3 linked regions of the Cricetulus griseus genome follow. The protein of the gene in region 2 purifies or fractionates together with the protein of the main gene of each other region. This does not show direct contact. Links are inferred from orthologs where the notes say so. Each region holds a gene or a part of one and is shown on either strand. Other genes may lie near its edges.

The links.
Region 1: the proteins of Dusp4 (region 2) and Mapk14 purify together in Homo sapiens (affinity purification with mass spectrometry; 3 studies listed by BioGRID and IntAct, with this or other methods). This does not show direct contact. The link is inferred for Cricetulus griseus from reciprocal best matches to the Homo sapiens genes DUSP4 and MAPK14.
Region 3: the proteins of Dusp4 (region 2) and Mapk8 purify together in Homo sapiens (affinity purification with western blotting; 3 studies listed by BioGRID and IntAct, with this or other methods). This does not show direct contact. The link is inferred for Cricetulus griseus from reciprocal best matches to the Homo sapiens genes DUSP4 and MAPK8.

What each region holds. Positions count from the first base shown.
Region 1 is NW_023276806.1:233,852,374-233,859,952, reverse strand, and holds part of Mapk14 (mitogen-activated protein kinase 14), read right to left. Parts: intron 7,499-7,579; coding exon 7,419-7,498; intron 6,375-7,418; coding exon 6,296-6,374; intron 2,706-6,295; coding exon 2,532-2,705; intron 1,258-2,531; coding exon 1,190-1,257; 3' UTR 1-1,189. UniProt on the Homo sapiens protein: Serine/threonine kinase which acts as an essential component of the MAP kinase signal transduction pathway.
Region 2 is NW_023276807.1:50,090,584-50,098,921, forward strand, and holds the start of Dusp4 (dual specificity protein phosphatase 4), read right to left. Parts: upstream 4,876-8,338; 5' UTR 4,438-4,875; coding exon 4,005-4,437; intron 1-4,004. UniProt on the Homo sapiens protein: Regulates mitogenic signal transduction by dephosphorylating both Thr and Tyr residues on MAP kinases ERK1 and ERK2.
Region 3 is NW_023276807.1:186,008,849-186,016,721, forward strand, and holds part of Mapk8 (mitogen-activated protein kinase 8), read left to right. Parts: intron 1-4,030; coding exon 4,031-4,196; intron 4,197-6,390; coding exon 6,391-6,462; intron 6,463-6,834; coding exon of another isoform or gene 6,835-6,906; intron 6,907-7,873. UniProt on the Homo sapiens protein: Serine/threonine-protein kinase involved in various processes such as cell proliferation, differentiation, migration, transformation and programmed cell death.

The sequences.
Region 1 (7,579 bases), on a different chromosome or scaffold from region 2:
TTACAAGTGAGGGGAGCATGATTTCCAGAGCTGGGGACATTCTTAGGAGAGGCCTCTTTTCCTCCCCAAACTGGTGACAGTCAGATGGCAAGAGTTCAGGTGCTCTGTCTGTCTGTCTGTCTGTCTGTCCTGCATCTCCTTGCACCACAAGCACCTGGAGGATCAGTTGTGTTCAACACAAAGCAGCGCTGGAGTGAGGAGGCAGTATTGTGCCCATGGCATCAGCGGAGGCAACGTGGACAGGAACTGCCAGCAAGTCCCCACATGCCTGGCAGTCCCAGGGCTTTCCGAAGAGGACAGACAAGGGGGCTGTGGAAGCTCCAAGGGCACAGCATGCAAACACACCTGCACTCTGCCAGATGTGAAGAGCACACAGGAAGCGGCTGAAGGCAGGAACCTGCGCCTGGTACTGGGGACCTCTGCACTGAGGTGAAGGGTAAGCATAGATTCCGCTTGCTCCTGGGAGAGGGAGGGCGGCCACACATACATGCTCCTGCACACGTACACAAGTACACAAGTATACAAGTACACACACACACACACACACACACACACACACACACACACACACACGCGCGGCTTCCCTGAAGGCTGTCTTGTTTCTTCTTGCTCACCACTGGCTACCCACCAACCCTGTGCGTTCACCTGGCTCAGAACATGAGCAGCTGCGGTTCTCTGTGTCCTTCTCTGTTTAAGGCACAAACAGACTGCCGGCTTTGAACACACCTGTCAGGCTCTGAGGACCATCCTAAGCAAGCCAATCACAGGCTAGAGCTCAGGAGCCAGCTGGTCTCTTCTGTATGCATGGCTGGGGGATGGCCTGTCTGTGCCACTGTGGTGTATGGTAAAGGTGGGGCCACCGGAGAAGCCAGAGTGGCAAAAGTGTAACTAGGAACAGGGATATCTTAACATTTCTTACTTTGCACTTAGCATACCCCTAACAAGACAGCAGTTCCCATCTGCCTGCCCAGACTGAGAAAGCACTACCACTCACGATGTCACTGCTAGCACAGTGACTCCAGCCACAAAGACAGACAGACAGACAGACAGACACTACACGCATACATGCATCCCTTTCCACCATGAAGGAATCTTTCAACAAGAGGCACTTGAATGATATTTGGAGAGTTCCCATGAGAAGGCCTTCCCCTCACAGAGAAGTGGGGTCGACACAGCAGAAACCAGGTGTTCAGGACTCCATTTCTTCTTGGTCAAGGGGCGGTGGCACAAAGCTGATGACTTCATCGTAGGTCAGGCCTATGACAGGAAAGAAGGGCAAGGTGTGAGACTTGACAGCGCTGTGTTTGCCTGCAGACACTCGTCACTGCCCAGAGCAGTGTGGCATCTGCACCGCAGTGGAAGACAGTCCTGGCTCTGGGGTCTCACTGGAGAGCTGGCCTTGTGGTTTATGAAGGAATCTGACACTGGACAGGGAGATGTGACTCCATTCCAGGCAGCCCCTAACGAGGCCAAAGGTGAGCTATAAAAACTCAATTGGAAAACTGAAAATACATCGGACCCTACTTATTCTGAAGAGATGCTGTGAGTGAGCCCCTCCCTCCCCCCCGCCCCTCAAAGCTCTGTGTCAATGTGAAGAGCTGTGCACTGTGAGCATCTACACACTCCATCAGGGAACACACGCCCTGAAGGCCCGGGCTGTAAGTTTAGTGAGCTGGCAGTAACTGTTCACAAGGGCTTTACTGAGGCAGACTCTCATATAGCCCACGCTGGCCTCAAGCTACCTATGTTGCTGTGAATGACATTAAACTCTTTTTTTTTTTTTTTTTTTTTTTTTTTTGAGACAGGTTTCTCTGTGGCTTTGGAGCCTATCCTGGCACTCGCACTGGAGACCAGGCTGGCCTCCAACCCAGAGATCCGCCTGCCTCTGCCTCCCAAGTGCTGGGATTAAAGGCGTGCGCCACCAACACCCAGCAACACTAAACTCTTAACCCACTTTCTGAGTGCTGACCCACAGGTGTGTACACAACACTAGGCTGCCACTGATGAGTCCCTATTTTCCCAAGCCTTTTTTGATAAGTGAGAATCACCCGGAAAAGATTTTTTCTTATTTGTTTTTTGAGACAGGGTTTCTCTGTATAACAGGCCTGGCTCTCCTGGACCTTGCTTTTTAGACCAGGCTGGCCTCAAACTCACTGAGATCCACCTGCCTCTGCCTCCCAAGTGCTAGGATTAAAGGTGTGCCTCACCACTGCTCAGCCCAGAAAATATTTTTAAAAATAAGTTCTTGGGCTGCGCATGTGGCTCAGTGGTAGAACACGAGTGTTGCACGTGTGAGGCCCTCGGTCCAATGAGCTGCGTTGGTGGCACCTACCTTTCAGCACTTGGGAGGCAGAGGCAGGCGGATCTCTGTGAGTTCAAGGCCAGCCTGGTCTACAGAGCTGGTTCCAGGATAGCTAGGACTGTTAACACAGAGAAAAGTCCTGGCTCAAAAAACAAACAAAGCAACCAAACAAGAATAGATTGAAACCAAGCTCCCTTTGAGACCCACCCTAGCCTGCCTTTGAACTTACTTTTCCACTCATCTATAAGGAGGTCCCTGCTTTCAAAGGACTGGTCGTAAGGGTCAGCCACAGGCTCATCATCAGGGTCATGGTACTGAGCAAAGTAGGCATGTGCAAGGGCTTGGGCTGCTGTGATCCTCTTATCTGAGTCCAAAACCAGCATCTTTTCCAGCAGGTCCACAGCTGTCACACAAGAGGAAAAATACAGAGTGAGTTCCTGGACAGCCAGGGCTACATAGTCTCAAAAAACTCAAACGAAACAAAACACTCCAAATGAACAAAAACAAAACAAAATCTACTCCCCCAAACCAGGCTGTGAACAAACTTTTTTTCCAGTGTCAGGGCCACACGGTGACAACTGAATGAACTGTACTGAATGGAGGCCCCCTATGGCCAAAGCCTGGAGGTCGACAGCTAAGACCATCTACAAGGCAGGTAGCTTGATTGTAGTCTATATTAGCATATTAGTATTACATACTAGCATAATATAAATATTCACCCAGAATGTCAAACAATAGCAAATTGAAGGCTTCCCAGAGGGTCGCAGAAGAAAAGGTACTACATAAAGATATCTGATCCTTAAGACTTTCACTGTGAAAATTTGGAATACAGAAGCAGGAGGGGCACCCATGACCCATGCAGGGGCATCAGTCAGTCCACATCTGACATATTTCCCCCATTATTTCTGTGTCGCTCCTGAGTTGTTTTAAGGTTATTGAGATGACACTTTATACCCTAAATATTTCAGCACACAGACATCATCCTGCGTGACCAGAACATTGTCTTTAACCCCAAACCTGTCTGTGGTAAAACATCTCCATCACAGCTGTCTCCTACATTTGTTCAAACTGGGACTTCCTTATGGGGCTCTCTTTTCTCTAGCCTTTCTGAAACCAGCTGACCTCAGCCTTGCTATGTAGCCCAGGATGGTCTTGAACACATCTTCCTCAACACTGGGATACAGACAGGCTGTATCACCAGCCTTGCTTCTTACTGGCTCTCCTCTGACGACAGACACTGCAGATGTGTTGCAGGCGGGCAGCCATCGTCTATCACAGGCTGCCACTGCTTCTCTGTGCTCTGATGGATGGACCCCTCCCCACCCCGCTTCCTATATTCTTTACATTTATCAAAAGCCAGAATTAGACCTAAGTCTTCGGTAGGAACAATGTCAGGCACACTGGTCAAGAACACGTCCCAGGTGATGTTCTGAACTGGTGGGCACAATAGCCAGTGGAGCTAAAGGTGACTGGCATCTTGAGATCTTTCCCCTCTCTCCCCAAGTGAGTAATCTGGGGGAATATTTTGGTTCCTGGTATCAGTTACTTTCAATAATGGTTTCAGCATTACTGATTTTTCCCTCCCCAGAGCGATGACCTCATTAGAGACGGAGGCACAGAGCTGTCTAATTCTGAGGAGGAGGATGTTCTGCTTGGGTAAAGCCATCCTAAGCAGTTATCAACGAGACAGAAAGGCTCTCAGACCCCAGGGTTCTTTCTTTTTAGTTCTATGAGCACAGCAGTGCATGCCTGCTGGCTGAGAAGGCCAGAAAAGGGCACTGGGTCCCCTGGAAGAGTCCTCTCTCCAGCCCCAGATAATTTCTTCACAGTGGAAGGCTGTGGGTGCTAAAGAGGAGAAAAGCTTCCTGAAGAGGTGATGTCCCTCTGCTTATCAGAGTGATCATGCATCTTGCAGCCTGAACTCCACAGTCACCCACAGAAGCACAAGCTTTGAGGGTACAGAGGAAACAGCAAATAAGCATATGTGGGCTCAGATTCATGAGTCACCTCACGCTTTAAAGAGGGGCTGGGATGTAACTTGTAGAGTGCTTGCCAAGTGTGCACAAGGCTTTTGATTCCACACCCAGCAGTGTACACACTGGGCATGGTGGTGCACACCTGTAATCCCAGCATTCTGGGAGGCACTGGCTGAACTGCCTGAATAGACAGATATTCTTTTCATGTTCATCTACAAATCTGTTGATTTCATACTGAACACAAATGGGTGGGTGCCTGCCACCCTACCTTAAAAAGTTACACTATCTTAGGACCAATGCACTTAGATGAGAACAGGTCAGAAGCAAGGAAAAGACATCTCAAGGATCTCCATAGACGCCAACACTAAGATCAAAGGGCGGTGGAGCTCTCAGGTGTTTTGAGAATAGCAGTGATTCGAAGCCAGTGACTGAAAACAGGGCTGTTAATATTTATATCACTGCTGTGTGGTTCAGCTAGCAAGTTGGGGACGACTAGCTATGGGTCACAGCATGTTCCCTCTGCCACCAGCACTTGGCAATGCGCTGCGTGTTTGGATTGAGCAGGCTGTACTGGGCACCAGATTTTACTCCCCAGCAGTCTGGACTGACTCATGGGAGCTGGTTCTCGTCTGTGCTTAAATAGGGACACATATCAGGATGTGTGTGACTTCCATCAAAGGCAGAAGAAATCCTTTTGAGGCAGATAAGAGGGAGTCAAACAGTGTGCATCTGAAATGTGAGGTGCGAGGGGTAGCCTCATTCTCTATCCCCCTAACATCTGGAGAGCTTACAGATCACACCTCACACACCGCTACCTGGGCACTGTAGCTCACTCATGTCACAGAAGGCCCAGTGAGAACATGCCAGGGAGGCCACAGACCCAATCCAACCCTCAGTACCCTGCACTCCCGAGGCCAGAGTGAGGCAGCTTAGGCTGGACTCAGTCCTCCAAGAGTTCGGGCACCTCTCCAGCTACAGGATCACCACAGCCACGTTTCTGTACTGTGGCTATGGATGACATTCTTGAAGGGAAACAGCACCTGCCTATCCCACCTTCTGAAGCCACTGCCATGGCCATTAGCTCTCCAAAGACAACAACTAATTCTAGAACCATATCCCAGAACCAGGGATATGACCCACACAGACTTACCAATTGCCGTGATTTAAAAACAGGTCCACAGTTACACCTGCAGGGATATGAAGAGGTGGAGCACGCCAGCGGCTACACCCCTGCACTCCCCTCCTACTGCAGGGAGACTGTGGTCTGGCCCTTCTTTCTGGGACGACTACTCCACTGTCACGGAGCAAGGAACCAGAGCCTCAGCAAACCATCCTGGGCCATCGGAAGCATGGGTTAGCCTCCAACTTTAAGGAACAGTAACTGGAGTTTCAACTAAGGCAAAACACATCTTTTTTTTTTTAAGATTTATTTATTTTATGTCCATGTGTGTCTGTGTAAAGGGTGCCAGATTACCTGGATGGAATTGGAGTTACAGACAGTTGTGAGCTGTCATGTGGGTGCTGGGAATTGAACCTGGGTCCCCTGGGAGAGCAGCCAGTGCTCTTAACTGCTGAGATGACAAATTAACTCTGAAAAGGCTGCTGGTTCCGGCCATGAAGGGCCGAGAGAAGAGGAAAGGCGGGAGAGCCAGCCTGTCAGAGTGGAGGGCAACAGCACCCAGTGCTGGGCACGAAGTGCCATCTGTGCCTCTGCATCCTGTCCTCAGCCTGGCCCCACCCGTCCCCAGGAGCTGTGAGGAGCGTGGCTGGCTTCTAGACCTCCTTCATTCTTCCTCATGCTCCCATAACTCCCTTCTGTTTTCTGTTCTTTGCTGCACTTGTCCTTTCCACCACCATACTCCATGACCATATAAATATACAAGCCCATCGTATGGTTTTTGTTTAAATGTGACAGCACAGACACTAACAGCCATTTATTAAGACCCAAAATAAACTTAAAGAAGAACAAAACTTCAAGTCCCCAATTTACCTCACAAAATGAACGTGACCAACTTACCCAGGGGGTTGGCGCCAATAAACACGTTTGCAAAGTTCATCTTCGGCATCTGGGCCAGGGATTGAATGTAGTTTCTTGCCTGTGGAAACAAGGATTTTCAGAATGACCGCTCAAAGAGTGTCAGCAAGCAGCCCAGTGGCTGCGCTGAGGCCTGCCCCATTCCGGTGTGGATCACTGTCTCAGATGCTAATGTCAGACTTACTCTTCCAGCCCCTTAACGCCTCTATTTGTGATCACTGACTTTAGTCTCGCTGTCTCCCCCAGTTCTATTCACATGGGTGAGACTGCTAACCAATCAACTACCCTTCCATTAGTTTTCCGATCACAGGGTCAGAAGCTTAAAAACAGAACCTTGACTTCTAAATCTTTTCCAGCACTGCCTTCCTAACCAGCTAAGTTTAAAGAAGAGCTAGCCCTGCAGCAGAGACTCACTGTAATCTGAAAAGTTATGGGAACAAATACACATGGTTGTAACCATGCAGACTGGAAGAAGGAATGGAAGGAAGAGAGAGGTAAGAAGACCCATCTCACCCAGAGAAGCCATCCTTCAATATAAACAAGTACATTGAAATGCAAACAAGGCTGCCAAGGGTTTGTCTGTTTGCTAACCTGGTTTCCCAAAATGCTAAGGGTCCTCCAATCATAAACTGGAGTTAGGTTAAATGGTATGAACTGAAGAACCTGAAACTTACTGCAGGCTTGTATCTATTATGAATTGCTTGTCTTTCTACAGCACACTAATTAGCATAAGGTATTTTATAGTGTGTGCTGCATACAATCCTCTCTCAGTCATTAAAAAACGGATGGACAGGAAAGCAAGCTAATGGACTCTGCCCCATGCACCTGGGACGAAGCTGTTGCACACCCTAACTACAGACACCTACAAAGACATACAGTGCTCAAGCACAAGATTCAGAAACCAAACATCCCTACTTACAAGCCTACTCTGTGTGGCTGCCTCAGTCTGCATGACATTTTATCCCAAATGTCAACATCCTGCTAGCACACAGCCAGTCACTGCCCCAGCAGTCCCCAGGGCACATGCAATAATCAGGTGACATTAGACCCTACAGTGAGAAGGTGGCCTGAGTTAGACCTCCCTGAATGTGCTGTTTGCTCTCACCTCATGGCTTGGCATCCTGTTAATGAGATAAGCAGGGGGTGTCCCCGTCAGACGCATTATCTGCTGAAGCTGGTTAATGTCTTAGGTGCCTAGTCAAGGGCATTGGTAAACACACCGTGCAAAAGTCAGCTCAAGCTGTGGTTTTGTTCTTAAAGTCAAAA
Region 2 (8,338 bases):
TGCATTGTAATTAAGCCATTAAGGCTTGGAATTCTTGCTTAAGACCTATCAATTTTATAAATCTAACACTCCTCATCTTTGTCTCTGGGACACCTTGTTGTATTTACAAACAAAAAAGGCCAGCTGTTCTCCCTCTGGGTATAGAAGGTCAGAAATGTAGGCAAGCCCCTGAGCTATGCCCTGGGATGGCACTGGGAACACTGGAGATAAGAACAGAGAAGAGACAAGCAGGCACCAGCCGAGGTCCTGAATGAAGAACACCCCTTCTCTTCCTTCCCCCACTCAAGTCAGGGTCAGGTCAAAGACCTGAGGGCAGGTGAGTTTTAACCAAGAGGGACTGTCTAGATGACTACCCTGGTCATTCAAAACAGCCCCCTGGATAATTTTGCAATGAGATTTGTATACGAACTGAAGTCACAAGATAAATTCTAGACAGAAGGGAAGATTAAACTGTTGGAAGAAGGTCCTGTGTGTGGAGCAGGCTAGTTAGTTTGTAATCCAGCTGCCTCAGCCTCCAGGTTACTGAGATCATAGACATCCACCACACCAGGCTGAAATCTGTGTGTGTGTGTGTGTGTGTGTGTGTGTGTGTGTGTGTGTGTGTGTGTGTTAGATTAATGGGTGACATTGGGGATACTAGCAGTAAAGAATTATTGCTATTAGGGTAAGAAATTTCTATTTTAAAAACCAGGCTTTCCTAAAAGTCTAGGAACAGTTATGGAAGGAAAGAATCTGAAAGATGTATGCTGAGATTAAAATCTGAAAAACTTAATTTTAGTAACTGTCCCAAAAAAGCCTTAAAGGATTTTTTTTCTTTTTTTTTCTTTTTTTTTTTTTTTTGGTTTTTGGAGACAGAGTTTCTCTATGAAACAGTCCTAGATGTCCTGGAACTCACTCTGTAGACCAGGCTGGCTTTGAACTCACAGAGATCCTCCTGACTCTGCCTCCCGAGTGCTGGGATTAAAGGTGTGCACCACCACTGCCCAGAGCCTTATAGGATTTTAAGTTAAAGTATTTCCCATGATTTTTACTAGCAAAAAGAAAACATAAGACTTTAGTTAACTACTTTTAGCAAACCTTGATCAATAGCAGCAGATACACAAGACTAACAATACTTCAGCTAAGTTTAATTCCTGCTTTTGAACCCTTGCTTGTGAAAATCCACTGTTAACTACTGACAATCATCCTTTTACGTGACAAAAAAATAGGAAAACTGAGATTTCTTTCAAGGCAACTAACTGGAGAGGGGGTGGCCAACAACAAACTGATGGATTGCTTAGGCCAGGAAGGACACCATTTCTGAAACCGTTCTTTTGTCTCCCCATCCCAAGGATGGCAGACACCCACCATTCTCCCTCCCACTTGCCCACTGTCTGCCCCCTCACTCCACCAGCAGGAGGCCCTGGCTACCCCAGCTGAGCCAAATTACCTGGCCTTTAACAACTAAGCACAAACCTACCAGGCTTCATATCAGGTCTCTGAGCCTTGACTCTCTCCCAACAAGCCGTATCTTCTAGGCTGGCACCCGGGGGTTGGGAGTGGGGTTAGTCCCCATGACTACAGCAGGCATTTTCTTGCTACCCTCTCTACCAAGGCCAGTCAATAATTGGCAGAGAGGAGGAAGAGGGACTAGGTCATGGCTGGGTATGTACATCCACGTAAACTACGGCTGGCTGACAGATGTTCTGCTACCTCTACAGAACGAGGGGCAACAACATTCCCCCACCCTCGTTTTAGGCTTTTGCTCCCAAGGGCAGCATGCTGAACTTCTGGCTAGGGGTGGTGATGAAGTTGGGGTAGCAGCTGTTCCTGAACATATGAAAACAAAGCAGTCCAGGCCTGTGGCCCGGGCTAGATGAGCGCTACCTCAAAAGACATTGACTTTTGAGGGGCATGGGTGATCCTCCCTGCCCAGCAAGGGCAAACAGCAAGGGAAGGAGATGGGAAGGCAGAGATCAGTCAAGCAAGGCTTGAAGGAAATGCTTTCTTTGGGCCAGGCGTTTGGCCACCCATTACGGAGAGGACTGTCATTTTGCCCAGAGGCCACCTGTCCTATTCCGCTCCCCCCCCCCTTCTTACGTCAGTATTTGCCCTGAAGCGTTTTCAGAACTGGTCTGGCCTCCGGGTCTCCGGATCCCAATCAGCGACTGCAGAGTGCTGCGAGCCATGAAATTTAACCCTCCCAGTGCGCCAGGTCGTGGAGCCTGCGGCCCGGAAGGAAGCCTTAAAGCGCTCAGGACGAAGGCCAGCAGCAGCCTCTCCAGGGCGGTCCCCTACGGATTTTTTTCCAGGAAGGAAAACAAAACAATCCCTGACTCCACGTGGGGCTTAGTTAGACTCTCCCGAAGCCAGAGTAGGAAGGTGTAGCCCCGCTTTCTCAATCCAAGGGCTGAAGAACCCAGGACAGCCAGAGAGAGTTCCCCAACTTCCACCCCAATACAGTGTCACCTTTCCCACCCGCGCGATCTCGACTGGGAAGAGCAGGCAGGCTGGAACAATAGCACAGACGTGCAGCTTGGGGTCCAAGCAGGACCCCTCCGAGAGAAGAACACGGGACCTGAGCCTGACCCGGGGCTCCGGGTACCCTGTAGGGCTCGTCTCTGACCGCTGGGCGATCGTGAGATCCGGGACGAGTCTTCCCGGCCGTCGCTCCTAAAACGATTTAGGGAAAAGCCCGAGAGACTAGGACTCCCCTGGAGAAGCAAAAGGCGGCCCTCGTGAAAAAAGAAAGAAAAGTAAGCAAAATCGCCTTAGCAGTTCAGGCTCAGGTCAACAGCAGCGTTTCCCCCAGCAGCTGACGGGTCAAACGGTCAGGAAACAACTGCAGAGAACAAAGCCCCCCGCTGTTGCGCAGGGCCCGCTCGCCCGCACCCAGCAGCTTCCCAGTGCTTTTCCGAGGGGATCGGAGAAAAGGGTTTTTCACCCAGCCTCCCTTCCTCCCGGTGGACAGGTTCCTGGAATAAAAGTGTAATAAAAGGGACCAAGCGCCTCCACAGAGAAAGGGGCGGCTCTTGGCAGCCGGGGATCCGAAATACCTCCCGGGTTCAAAAGCGAAGACCCGACCCGCGCGAAAGAATGCGCGGAATGCGGCGGCCGGAGCTAAGGGCGCAGCGCGGCAGGGGGCGCCCGACCCCCGCGCTCACCGCGGGTTCCGCAGCCGGAGGGCCCGCACAGACGCTGGGTTGGCAGGTGCGGCGAGCCATCGGTCCCTTTCTCCAGGGACTAGGACAGTGTGCGATCTTTTGGAGGTATCTGACTTCTACATTTGAGAAGCCACCTTCTCTCCGGCCGCCTATTTAGGCCAGGGTTCGCTTCAACCAGGCACGCGCCGCCAGCAGAGAGTCGAGAATGGTGTGTGAACAAAAGGTAGTGATTCTCCGCTGCCAGGATTAGCGGGAGGAGACGCGGTTCTGCCTGGTGTCCCCCAATACAGCACTCCAGTCTCCCCGCTCCAGGACCCCAGGGCAGGGAGAGTTGGCCGCCTTCCAGAAAAGCTCTAAGTTGGGGCAGCGGGAGACAGATTAGAACGCTCCCCAGCTCTGCAACCCAATTCTCCTTCCAGCATTTACCAAAGGCAGGATTGTGTACGAACACTCGAGGCAGATCCCACCTCGGCGTTCACCTTCCTTCACCCGTCTCTAGGGTTCTCGGGGTCACACCGAACCAACAGGCCTCTCTTGTCCCTGGGGGACTTAATTTAAGAGTGCGATCTCAGCACTCGAAGCTGGCCTGCGCAGAGCAATTGCTGCCAGCATCCAGGCCAGGGCTGTTCTTGTCAATAAACACGTAACTCTAGGAAGCGTGCGGGTGGCAGGTGGCTGGAGAAACACGCCAGCACTCCCCCAGCCCCAGACTTGGGCTCAAAACCACGGCAAGACCGTGCACACTGACACTCACGGGGACTCCCGCAGCCCGAAGTCACTCGAGTACTTCTTCCCATGCCCAGCAGGCCGCCAAGTCCCTTACACCTACCCATCAGCTCGCGCCCGGGCGCCCACGTTTACCTTTAAGCAGACAGATGTCTGTGCGCTCGGCGTTACGGCGCAGCGCTTGCACGACCAGCGACACGGTGCTGTCCTCGCGAAGGCTCTCGGCGCGCGGGCTGCGCTCGTCGTAGACTATAACGGCCGAGTAGAGACCAGAGCGCAGGCGGGCGCGCACTTCTTCCTCGGCGGGCAGAATCTGCTCCAGGCTCACTGAGCCCTTGGCCCTCCGCCTTACGATGGTGTTGCAGCGCACGTTAACCGAGCCTCGGATGTAGCCTGCGCTGTGAGCCAGGAACGGTCTGCAATCCAGCAGCAGGCACTTGCCGCTGCTCAGCAGCCCCAGGGCGCCGTGGTTGCCGCTGCCGCCTGCGCCGCCGCCGTTCTCATCTCGGTTCATCAGCCTTTTGAGCACGCTGCAGTCCATCTCCCGCAGTTCCTCCATCGTCACCATGTCGCCGGGAACTGCAGCAGCTGGGGAGCTGGAGAAGACCAAGGGCACCCGGGCCAACTAGGCTACAGAAAGGAGCAGGCTAGGGCTAAGAGGGCGCCTATCGAAGTGGCCGCAAACTTGGCCCCAGTCTCTTCTCCCCGTACCCCTTCCTCGACCCGCAGACTCGACGTTACATAGCAGTCGGAGCCTTCTCCGGTTCCAAAGCAGGCAGGCACGCGGTCCCCGGGGGAAAGTAGCCGATGAGGGGAGTGTGTTTACGAGAGAGGGCTACCCTCGGTTTGTTGCCTCTAATGTGTTTTGCTAGCTCTGCTGCTCCTGCCGCCAACCGCTCGGGCGCCGCTGTTCCACGCAACACCCCGCCGGAGCTGCGCGCACTACCCCAGCCAGAGTTACCTCCTCGGCTTAGAGATTTATTAATGCTCGCCGGCTCTCCCGGGGGAGGGAAGAGTCATTACTACCTCGCCAGGCCCCGCCCCCCGCGCGAGCTCCCCGCCCAGCCCCGCCCCCACCCCAGCTCGTGAATGGAGGGCCGGCCCCCTCGCACCCAGTCACGGGAACTCGACGTCACAAAGAGAGGAGTAAACAGGGCGCTCGGTGCTTGCTGCCAGGCCCATTCATAAAACTGAGACCTAGAGGAAAAAGGAGGCAGCCTCCGACCCGCCCGCGAGCCGGCAGCTCCCGGACTTTGTGAATGGAGCTGCGGCGCGTCTCCCTGTCCTTCTATAGCGCCGGAGCGCGGCGGAAGCGCAGAGATGGTAGCGGGTGGCGACGCCGGCCTAACCAAGGCCTGGGCTCTCTTGCTGGAGGTCTTCGCCTCTGCGATATCCCCCCCACCCCCGCGGCCCAGTCTTCTAGGTCTGGCTCCTTGCAGCTCAGTGGACCCGGGCGCTGTGTGGCTGCCACCCACAGAGCTTGGGACCTCCTCTCGCAGGACTTAACCTTGCTCTTGGGATCGTGCCGGTTGTGCTTCGTTTTGTTTTTAATGCGATTCCCCAGACGTTGGTTTTTACATTAGCGTGATCGATTTCCACCCTGGCCTATTTCAGCTTTATAGTTTCCCGTGGAACATGGGCAAACCCTGGCTTAGAAGATGAAAGGGAAGATCCTCGCGCCAAAGCCCAGTAACAAAAGAGAAGTGTAGAGTTTGTTACTTTACAACCCAGAGGGGGGCGTTAATTAGCCGAATGGTATGCCTAAGCTTACGTGGTTGGGGAGGGGAGAACACCCCGACGTTTTCCTCTTCGCAGGAAGTCCTCCCTCTCGGACACACGCGAACTGTCCTCTCAGGAAATGACTATTAGGGTCCACATTTGGTGCTAAGGAAGGTGCCGGAAAGTGTCCATGCGAAGACTAATCTTTTGAACGAATTTAATAAGCTCAGAGGCGATTCGAGTTTCTGCATTCCCTCTTTCTAGGTCACGTAGTGTCCGCACCCGGGTTTTACTTTGCCAGAGGCATTTAATTTCCCAAGGGCTTTTTGGCAAGAGGGGAGGTTTGTGCACGCACACGGTGGAGACCTTTCAGAAGCCAAAAATTATTCTGCCGCGATCTTGCCAAGTCTTGTTAGCAAGAATTAATCACCGAACGAGGGAATTACGGGGTTCGCTCGCGGCCTTGGTGGTAGCGAGGACCAGTATTCCATTTCAGGTCGCGGGTGGAAGAGGGCGGCCGAACCCTCAAGGTCCTTTCTGCCCACTTCAGCTCTCTAGCCTTGCCCTCTGCTTTGTTCCCTGCAGAGCGGCTCACACCCAGCACCCATTTCCAAGGCCTTCTACCTACTCTTTCCTCGAGCACTCTGAAGTCCCCGACACACCGATCTGGGTCCAGTGGGCTGTATGGGGCGCTGATCATCCGTGAAGATATTTCCATTTAGCCTCAGGTTCCAAAATGGTGCTACCATGTTTCTGCCTTAAATTTTTAATTTTGTTCATGGATTTTTTTTCAGTTAAAAGGATAAATTATTACGTGTGGATTAGTTTGTTGCTGCCATTTTAAGTGACTCCCATTGCACCTTAAATTTTGGTGCCTGGAGTGAGTAATCACACTAATCCGGGCTCCGGAAGGAGCCACAATAACAGACTGACACAGGCTGACTGGGGCAGGGTCTGGGACACCGGTCACTCGGGCTGGGAGAGCACCAGTAAGGAGGGCAAAGGGGGCTTGGTCCGGTTTCTCTGGCTGCGGGAACCGGGGTTGGGGGGAGTGTGAGGACATCTAATGCTGCTTCTCCCGCTAGCCCGCCATTGGTGGCCCTGCCCTAGGCATCCCTGGTGCCTCGATAGCCGGAGCCAGATTCGCTGTGGGCAGGGAGGGGGGCGGGGGTTCCCCGCAGTTTACAAATCCAGCGGGTACCAGGCCTCAGCTGCCGCAGCAAAGAAACACACAGACTGCTTTACAAAGGTTTTGACACAACGTTTCTCCAAAGAGTCTCAGTCCGAGCCAGGTCTGGGGCCGATTTTACACGAGTTACAAGAGTAGGATGGGGGTGATTGGTGGGTTGTCCCCAGGTGGCACTGACCACACTCGGCTAGCCTTTGTCTCCCCTGCGCTAGGGGAGCCCCCTCCCCCCGCCGGCCAGGCCGGAGCCCAGTGCTCACGTGGCCCGTAAATAACAGTCAAATCCGGGGCGGGCGGGCGGGCGGGGGGTGGGGGAGCCCACGGAACAAAGGGCTGCTTTCTGCACCTGACAGTAATCCCTGCCGGAGAAGCCCATAAATCGCGTAGGCGAGTCACACGCAGGGGGTGTAGGTAGGCGCGTGTGAGTGTGTGTGTCCACGTGTGCGTGTGGGCGCCTGCGCGCCCGTTTCTGGAGGGGTTCAGCCACTTCGGACCTAGTACATTTAAGCTAAGAAAGGCTTTTGTTGAGAAGATGATGTTGAACAAAACAAAATCCCTTTCCCCCAGTTCAGGAATTGCCCTCAGTCATGTGAATGTTAGCAAACGAGCCTTAAATGACAGCGTTGTGTTTACCCGGATACTGTGTGAGCACCCTAGATAATTTTCTTAATGGAAGCGTGCGAGCCATTTGGTCCACAGTTCGGTGAATACAACGCAAGGTCTACTCAGTGCCGGCTATAGAGAAGATATAAAACCGGCCTTCCATTGGTCTGCAGACTGAGGGGTGAGAAACAGTCAGTTTACACAGGAACTTCGTGAGTCAGCTTGTCAATAAAATCTCTCGGAAAACAAAGGCATTTGGGGGAAGACTGCTTGAATGTCGTTTCAGCGTTAATTAGTTTAGGAGTTTCTGCGCTCGGGGGAGGGGGGCAGGGGTGTATTGTGGTGGGATTGCCCAATTTATATCCAGCAGTAAACCTCGGGGTGGAAATACTTTAAAATTTCACTTTGACATGTGAATCCATCTTCAGACAGTCCCTTAGACCGCCCGTTTTAGTCAGTGTCAGGGGCCAACAAATCCCTGTGCTTGTTTACAAGCCTTTCTTTCCAATTAGAAAGTATTGTGATCTGGGGATTCGAAGCCGGGAGTAGAATCCCCAGAGAAAACTGTGACTTCTATTCTGGTTTTGATACCAACTTCTGACTCACAGCCCTGTCCCAAAGTAACTGAATAAAACTTACCTTTAAAAAAAATCAGTGATAAATGAATAACCAAGAGGTGGTGGTGGATAATTGGGTGGATTCCCGGCTTCCTGAGGAATTATTCTTTTGACTTGAACCTATTTGGGCTCTGATAGTAAAATACTGGCAAGACCTGGAGGCCAACTTATGCTCCAAGCAGGAAAGTGGCACCATAACGTGTCATTAGGCAACACTGACAAACACTGAATTAAAATGCATACCTCTCCTTCCTGCCTACCTCTGACCCTCAAGCCCGGAGTTCGAAGGCCTTGGGACTCAACACCTAGAAATCAACAAAAGAATTCACAAGTGTGGCCTAAAC
Region 3 (7,873 bases), about 140 Mb from region 2:
CCTCTGGAGGTGGGAGTGCTTACTCATTAGGAGTTGAATCTGATTTCTGCACAGTACAGTCTGTCCACTGTTGTCCACATTACCTGGCTGCTCCCCATGGGAATCTTCCTTTCCTTCTTAAATACATCTCAAGTAAGTATTGAAAGCTGTGGACTCTGGCTGCTCAGCTTTCTTTACCTGCTTCCTACCCATGAAAGACAGGAGCACAAGTATCTTATTGACATTTGGAGCAGAAAGTTTCTTTGTTGCTGTCCTGCCCATGTAAGATGCTCAGCAGCTTTCTTGACAACAGAGTTTTATTTTTCATAGTGAAGCTTTTATCAGCAACTAAAAGAAGTGTAGCTTTATAATTGTATGTCTTTTTAAAACATACTAGCTGGCAGGCTCTGTATTCTTGGACTTACTTGAAGCTCTCTTGAGTCTACCTTCACACTTTCAGGCTTCTTTGGACAGACTGACTGATATCATCAATTTGAGGATTTGACAAGACTTTCAGATTTGTTATGGGAAATGGTGTATAGAAACATGCCAAGAATATCCATGGCTTGAAACAGCACAGTGCTTGCTCAGGAGCCTCAGGATTGGGCTATGTTCCATACATTGGGTCAGGTTCAGGTTTACTTCCCAGGGACCTTGTTTTCCCATGGTATAAGGTAAAAGGACAGAAACTATGTTAACTCGAATATGTCCAGAATTTCTCTTCAGATTTGGTGAGCATCACATTCTTTGATGTTCCATTAACTAAAACAAGGATAGGCATATAAAAGGATGATGCTTGGTCCAGGGATGAACTATACCATCTGTCAGCTTTTTCTGGGTTGTAGGAACATTTAGCTTATCCAAAATAATGACACTATTATCTTCCATTTCTACTTACAATGTGGCTAGTTCTTTCCAGTGGAGCCAGTAGCCACCAATAGACAAAGGTTTGCTTTCCAACCTTTTCTAGAGCAGGAATTCAAGAACTTGTTTATGTAAAGACCACATTCTAAGGTCTCTGCCACAGCTACTTAGAGGACTCTGCCCTTCTATCACAAAAGCACATATAGATAATGTGGAACAAGAGGGCTGTCTAAGTACACAGAAAACTTACTTTGCAAATGCACTCAGGCTTTCAATTGTCAGCCCCTGTTCATTCTGCAAGTCCTGTGCAGATGACATAAAAAAATATTTTTGCATCTGCATAATAAGGATCTCTCTCCATTTTGTTACTGGTTTCAGTGCTGTTCAGTCACCAGCTCATGGCCCTGTGTTCTTGCACAGGTTGTCTGTGATCTTAAATGCTTGGGGCCAGATTGTTTCAGATTTGGAATGTTTTAGATTTTAGATATTTTCATAGACTTTACTTTAGAGCATCCCTAAATCTGAAAGTTAGAAATACAGATTTCTTGAAAATCAAAGCTCTGACATGATGGACCCTGTACCCTTGAACTAATTTGAGTCTACCGTTAAGTTTTCCTTAGCATAGACATCAAAGTGGATATAACAACCTTTTAAGTACTGTCAGTTATACTCAAAATGACTTAAATTTGGGCCTTTCAGATTTCAGAGTAGGGATACTCAACTTGAAGTAGGCTCAGGTACAATAACAATTATCAGACTCTTAACTAAACATAACTAAGGTTTATTTCTCATATTATGTGTACAAGCAGATCATGGGGGCGGGGGGGGGGGGGGAGACATGGTTTTATAGAAATGCTGAACAATCCTGGTGCCAAGAAAGCCCACTACCTGGAGTGTTCTTACTCACCAAAGCAAGAAGAGCCACAGGAGGCCTTCCTCCACTTTGTTCCCATTAAGATACTACCTACTAGGTCTACTCATTCCACCTTGCCTGACTGGAGAGGCTTAGAAAATTGGGGAGGAAAATTGAATGTTGAGGTACTTCTACTCTCTCTGCACAAATGTAAACTCCAAGTCACTCTTCCATATGTAGTTAACAATATAAAGATGAATTTTAGTTAATATTCTTAGAGCCAAATACTCTTGACACTTTATTTTCTTAAACTGTTTCTTTAAAAAAAAAATTGTATTTGTTCATAGTCCTTCCAGAACAAAAAGTGTTTGCGTTTTTTCTAGACTAGAACCAGCTAGACTAGAACCAGTAATCTCCAGCTGTAACAGCAGACATGAAAGTGATACTAAAGTTTGTAATGGGCATTCCTTTGCTTTATATACTTTTTTTATATTTCACAAGTATTAGCAACATTATATTTGCAGAACAGCAATGATGGCATTTATCTTATGCTGTAATAACTCTATATTCTTAATATTCTTAATTTTCTAAAGTCCTGAGTCTGTTCCCGAAGCCTTTGCATGATGGCCTGTTAGAAACAGCATATAAGCAATTCCTGCATGTAGACATTTAAAGGGGTCTTTGCTTTTGGTGTTAGTATCTGCTATTCATCTGTGCATGTGAGATAGTGTGATTGTGGTGTGGATATGAGAGTTCATTAAAGCTAACAGGCAAAAGCATGATGAATGTGAAGCCCTGAGTATTTATGCCACTGCTTCATTTTAATAGGCATTAAACAGATTTCTTTCTGGCTGGAGCCAAGTGGCAGTTTTTCACAAAGACATTATTTAGTACTACCAGCAGAAAGCAATTTTATGGACCAGTGGCCCCAGCACACTAATGTGTGCTACATGTGGACAAATGTTTATGAGCAAATATTTGTGATTTTATGTGGGAAGTCAGGAATGGGCAGGCTGATAGTCACTATTTTGGTCCTTTAGAATGAGTGTCTATTGAACTGGGGTTGATCCCAAGCCTTCTCCCCATAAAAGCAAACATGTATAACTATGAATGTTCCAATAACATATGCCAAGGTTATGTCAATATCACGTGACTATTTGCAGAATGTTTCATAGTGGGTTTAAAGTGATAAAAAGCTCATTGTGACCTTAGGATGAGATTTCTAATGCTATTAATTTAGTATGCAGATGAATATAAATGCTAATTTATGACTCTTACCATAGTAGAGAGTAAAGAACTACCATAGTAGTTCTTTTATTGTTTGTGATTGGTATTTTAAGACACAGGGTATTGCTATGTATCCTAATTTGCTTAGTATTGCTGTGATAAAACTGACCAAAAGCAACTTGGGGAAGAAAAGGCTTGTTTCATCTTATGTAACAGTCCATCTTTGAGGAAATTCGGGGCAGGAACCTGGATTAGTAACTGAAGCCGACTTCCTAGAGGAGTGCTGTTTACTAGCTTGCAACTCCATGGTTTTTTCAACCTGTTTTCTTAAACAACCGGAACTACCTGCCCAGGACGGCGCCACCCACAGTAGGTTGGGCCCTCTCAGTTTAATCACTGATTAGGAAAGTACCCCCCAGAGTTGTCTACAGGCTGTTCTGTTAGAAGCAATTTCTCAGTTGTTGTCCCCTCTTCCCAAATGATTCTAGCTTGTTATGTCAAGTTAACAAAAAACTAAGCAGTACACTGTGTATCTTAAACTTCCAGTCTTTCTGCTTTGGTATCAAGAATTGGATTACAAAGGATAGGCCACTATGCCTAGCACAAAAGTCTTTTTTGTTTGTTTTATTTTTTATTTCTTTTATGCAGTTTTGCCTGCATGTATGTCTGTGTGAGGGTATAGAATCCCCTGGAACTGGAGTTACAGACACACCTGTGAGCTGGCATGTGGGTGCTGGGAATTGAACCCAGGTCAGAGCAGCCAGTGCTCTTAACTACTGAGCCATCTCTCCAGCCCCACACAAAAGATCTTAAGTGAGCTTTAAGATGTCTTTCCAAATCTCTTGCTCTACTTGACCAAGAATTTCTAGCTAATACTGATCTCTAGGAAATAGAGCTTTACTGACTTCATACTGGGTTTATGTTCATATAAATGAAAATATCTTCAATCTGATTTCTTGGGTTTGCCTATTTGTATTGAATCTCTGTAGTTATATTGCAGTGAAAACAGTGAACAATTAAACTGTTTAACAGATTATGTAGTTCAGTTGAGTAGTGAAACCTTTGTATATATGTCTTAGCAATCATTTTAATGTTTATTTCCTGAAGGACTTAAAGCCTAGTAATATAGTAGTCAAATCAGACTGCACTTTGAAGATTCTTGATTTTGGACTGGCGAGGACTGCAGGAACAAGTTTCATGATGACGCCTTATGTAGTGACTCGCTACTACAGAGCACCAGAGGTCATCCTCGGCATGGGCTACAAGGAGAACGGTCAGCATATATTTTCACTTTGAAATACTCATTTGATTTAGTTTATCAGTAAGATATTTGTACTTAAATTGAAGTGCATGGAATTAACCATGTTTCAAATGTATATCAAGAATCTGAGCATTTTACCATACATATTTGGGAAAGCATGGGGGTCTTATCTTAAATGTGAGTACTTTCCATCAGTCCTACTCCTAAAGAATTCTAAAACCATAACTTACGCCCTTTGCTTGTCTGTAACTTCAACATGAGCATATACCTTTTAATTAATCTTAGTAGTAATTCTAGTGTATAGTAGTCATATTTGCTCTCATCTCCAACACCTTTAGTCAGTGTTAATAATAACACTCAATATCAACTGAGAGCTACATAAAGGCTCAATTCTGAAAAATTAATGGATAATGCAACCTCTTGTGGGAAATAATAGTGTTGCATAAAATCCTGTGTCCAGCCTTAAGGAAATTGAATATATTATTATGTGTGGATATGTTAAACTTTTTAATGTGTTTCTAGGGAGGGAATTAGAACAGTGGTTCACTTTGAATCAGAAAATTATTGTCAGTCTTGAAGATTCTTTATGCATATGTACATACATGCATACATACATACATACATACATACATACATACATACAATGATACTGTTGAAATTTAGGTCCTTGCTTAATTTCCTTTTCTTTTTTGAGCTAATTAAAAACAAATATTTTAGATATCAGTTTATTTAAACAAACAGGATATTCTGCTTTCTTAGTCTCAGCATAAGATTTAAATGTTTTGTTTTGAAATATGACATTTCAGGTAACTAGAAAGCATATTGCTAATTGCTTTTCTGTGAAACTTTTGGTTATATAAATTGCACCACGTGTTGGTATCCTTGTAAATATGGTCTTGACATAGCTCCTTACCAGAAATTAGAGATGCTGTTGTCAAGAATTGATATATTGGGGCTGGAGAGATGGCTCAGTGCTTAACGCTGGCTGTCCTTCCAGAGGTCCTGAGTTAAATTCCCAGCACTCACATGGCTACTTACAACTGTCTAATGCCAGTTGCAGGGAATTCGACACCCTCATACAGACATGTGCACATAAGATAAAAATAAGTAATTAAAAAATTATCCAAAAAAAAAAGGAATTGACATATTGTCCTCTCAGATCAGTCACATAGATCATCTCATTGCTTTTCCTGCCTGTTCCCCCAGGAGCCCAGTCAAATCTAATGCTTCTTCATAACTACCATTAGCAGCAGGGGATGACATACAGATGTCCTCTTTTAAGTGCCTCTCTCTCTCTATCCTCTCTCTCTCTCTCTCTGTCACACACACAGACACAGAGAGAGGGGGAGAGAGAAGAGAACCTCAGATTGCTTTAAAAAGTTTGGGGTAATCTATTTTAAGCTGCCTGATAGCAAATTCATCCCCTTGTAGCAAGTTTTATAATACAGTGATCTGCTAGGAGACTCTTTATAGATCACAAATCTGTAGGTACTTTGGTATTTTAAAATAAAAAACTTGAAAACACTTGTGTTTACCAAGGTTTCTTAACAGATAAGCTGTTCTTGTTCTGCATTTGTCCTTTTTTTTTGGTAGAGGTTAGGTATAAATGTAAAATGAAGTTGCGAAGAAAATGACTGACTTTTAATTCAGAACATACAAACAAAGCCTTTTCAGTTCAATAAGCCTGTGAAATGTAGTTTGAAATTTTCTGAGGAAAACTTTAGATTAACATTTTATTAAATTCAGAGACATTCTGTTTCTAATATGCTAGATTATTTCTGCTTGTGCTTTTAAAATTTAACTTAAAGAGAGAGTAAAATGCACAGTTAAACCTCAAAATAGTGCATCTTATTTTTATAATTTTATGACCTCATATACATTTTTAACTTTATAGTTTGTTTGGCTCTACTTTACATTTTATAAACATTCACAGTTATAAAATGTATATTTTTAATTTATCCAGTTTCTGTGCATAGCTCTCACTTTAAAATTAGATATGTAATTAAAATGCCACTCCATATTTTCTTTTGTGATTCAAAGCTTTTCTAAAAGCATTTTGTGTTTTAAATTATTCCATTATTTGAAATTCAAACCACCTTTCTTTGTGATGTTCTGCAGTTTTTTAGATAATGCAGTCATATTATGCTTCTTTGATTTTAATGACCTTTTGCTTTGCTTTTCCTTCTTTTGTGCTGCAAACATATAGTGGATTTATGGTCTGTGGGGTGCATTATGGGAGAAATGGTTTGCCACAAAATCCTCTTTCCAGGAAGGGACTGTATCCTTGTGCTGCTGCAGCAAATTACTTAGCTAGGTGATGAACTTCCTTCTGTTTGCTAATGAAAAGGAATATATTGTACATTTGTACATACATACAGGTTTTTTTTTTTAATAGATGTAAAGTTTGTGGCTGTTATAGTTCAAAAAACTGTTGAGCAAAGAAACTGAAGTGTTTGTAGGCTGCACCTGGCAGCAGGACATACAGTCTCTGCTGGTAGTCAGAGCACATTCACTGTCATTCATTTTTATTTTGTATTGCTTTTTATAATTTTAAGTGTATATGGTGTGTGTGTTTTATTTTAATGTTTATATATTTTTCTTTTTATTTTAACCAAATCTTTATGTTAATGTCATTGCATTTTGTTTTCAGTTGACATTTGGTCAGTTGGGTGCATCATGGGAGAAATGATCAAAGGTGGTGTTTTGTTCCCAGGTACAGATCGTATCCTTATCTTTGGCCTAAAACGTAGTTTCTAAAGGTCAAACTGTATGGAACCGTGTCAGGTGGAATGTATTTTGTCTCTCCCTAATAAAAAGTATTGTTAAATTACTCTTCCAGAATACCACCTCTTACTTGACATAGACTTCCCTTTTTCTCATTTATTGTTTGCATTTGTTAACTGTGAAAAGTGCTCAAGTGTGATTATAGTTTTTTGATGGCTTTGAGTTGATTAACATAGAAAATTATGGCTTCCACTAAAAAATTTTAACACTTGAGTAAGTCTATAACTATTTTGAAGGTAGCATGAATTTTAGAATTATTTGTTGCTCCTATCTATCTTTTTGTTTGGTTCCCCCATGTCTTTCTGTTACTGTTGTGTATGTTGTGTCTTACTGTCTCATTACATTAACATAACATGCTGAGATTCTCAGCAAGAAGTTTCCTTTGTTGGGCTTCATGCTTTTAGTTCATCAACTTTTAATATATATGCTAACAGTGAAGTGTCTATCAGTGAGTAGCACAATTGTTTTAGGAGGAATGAGAATATTCACCATGTTACTCTAAGAGTGTTTGGGACATTTGTCTTTGGAGGTTTGGAGTATAAAGAATAGAAGGAACAAGACCAGGAAACCCTAGTCTATAACATACTGAGATACTGGTGTCATTTTCATGTGTTTTAGTGTTACACAAACGTAGTAAACATAGGCAAACCTGAGAATGGCAGAAGAAAATGCTACTTCTGTTAGAGTCATCATTTTTATCGCCATTGGTTGTTTTCTGTTAGTGTAGAGAACTCAGAAAAGCAAGACAAAATAGAAATATTTCTCACTGGGGAAAAGGCAGATTTTTAAATATTAAAGTTTGTGCAGTTTGCATTTTAAGTCTTTATGTATAGTAATGATAGTTTTTGAATTATAATTTTATTTTGGATTTACTTGTTTATTCCTCTGTTTCATGGCAAAATTAA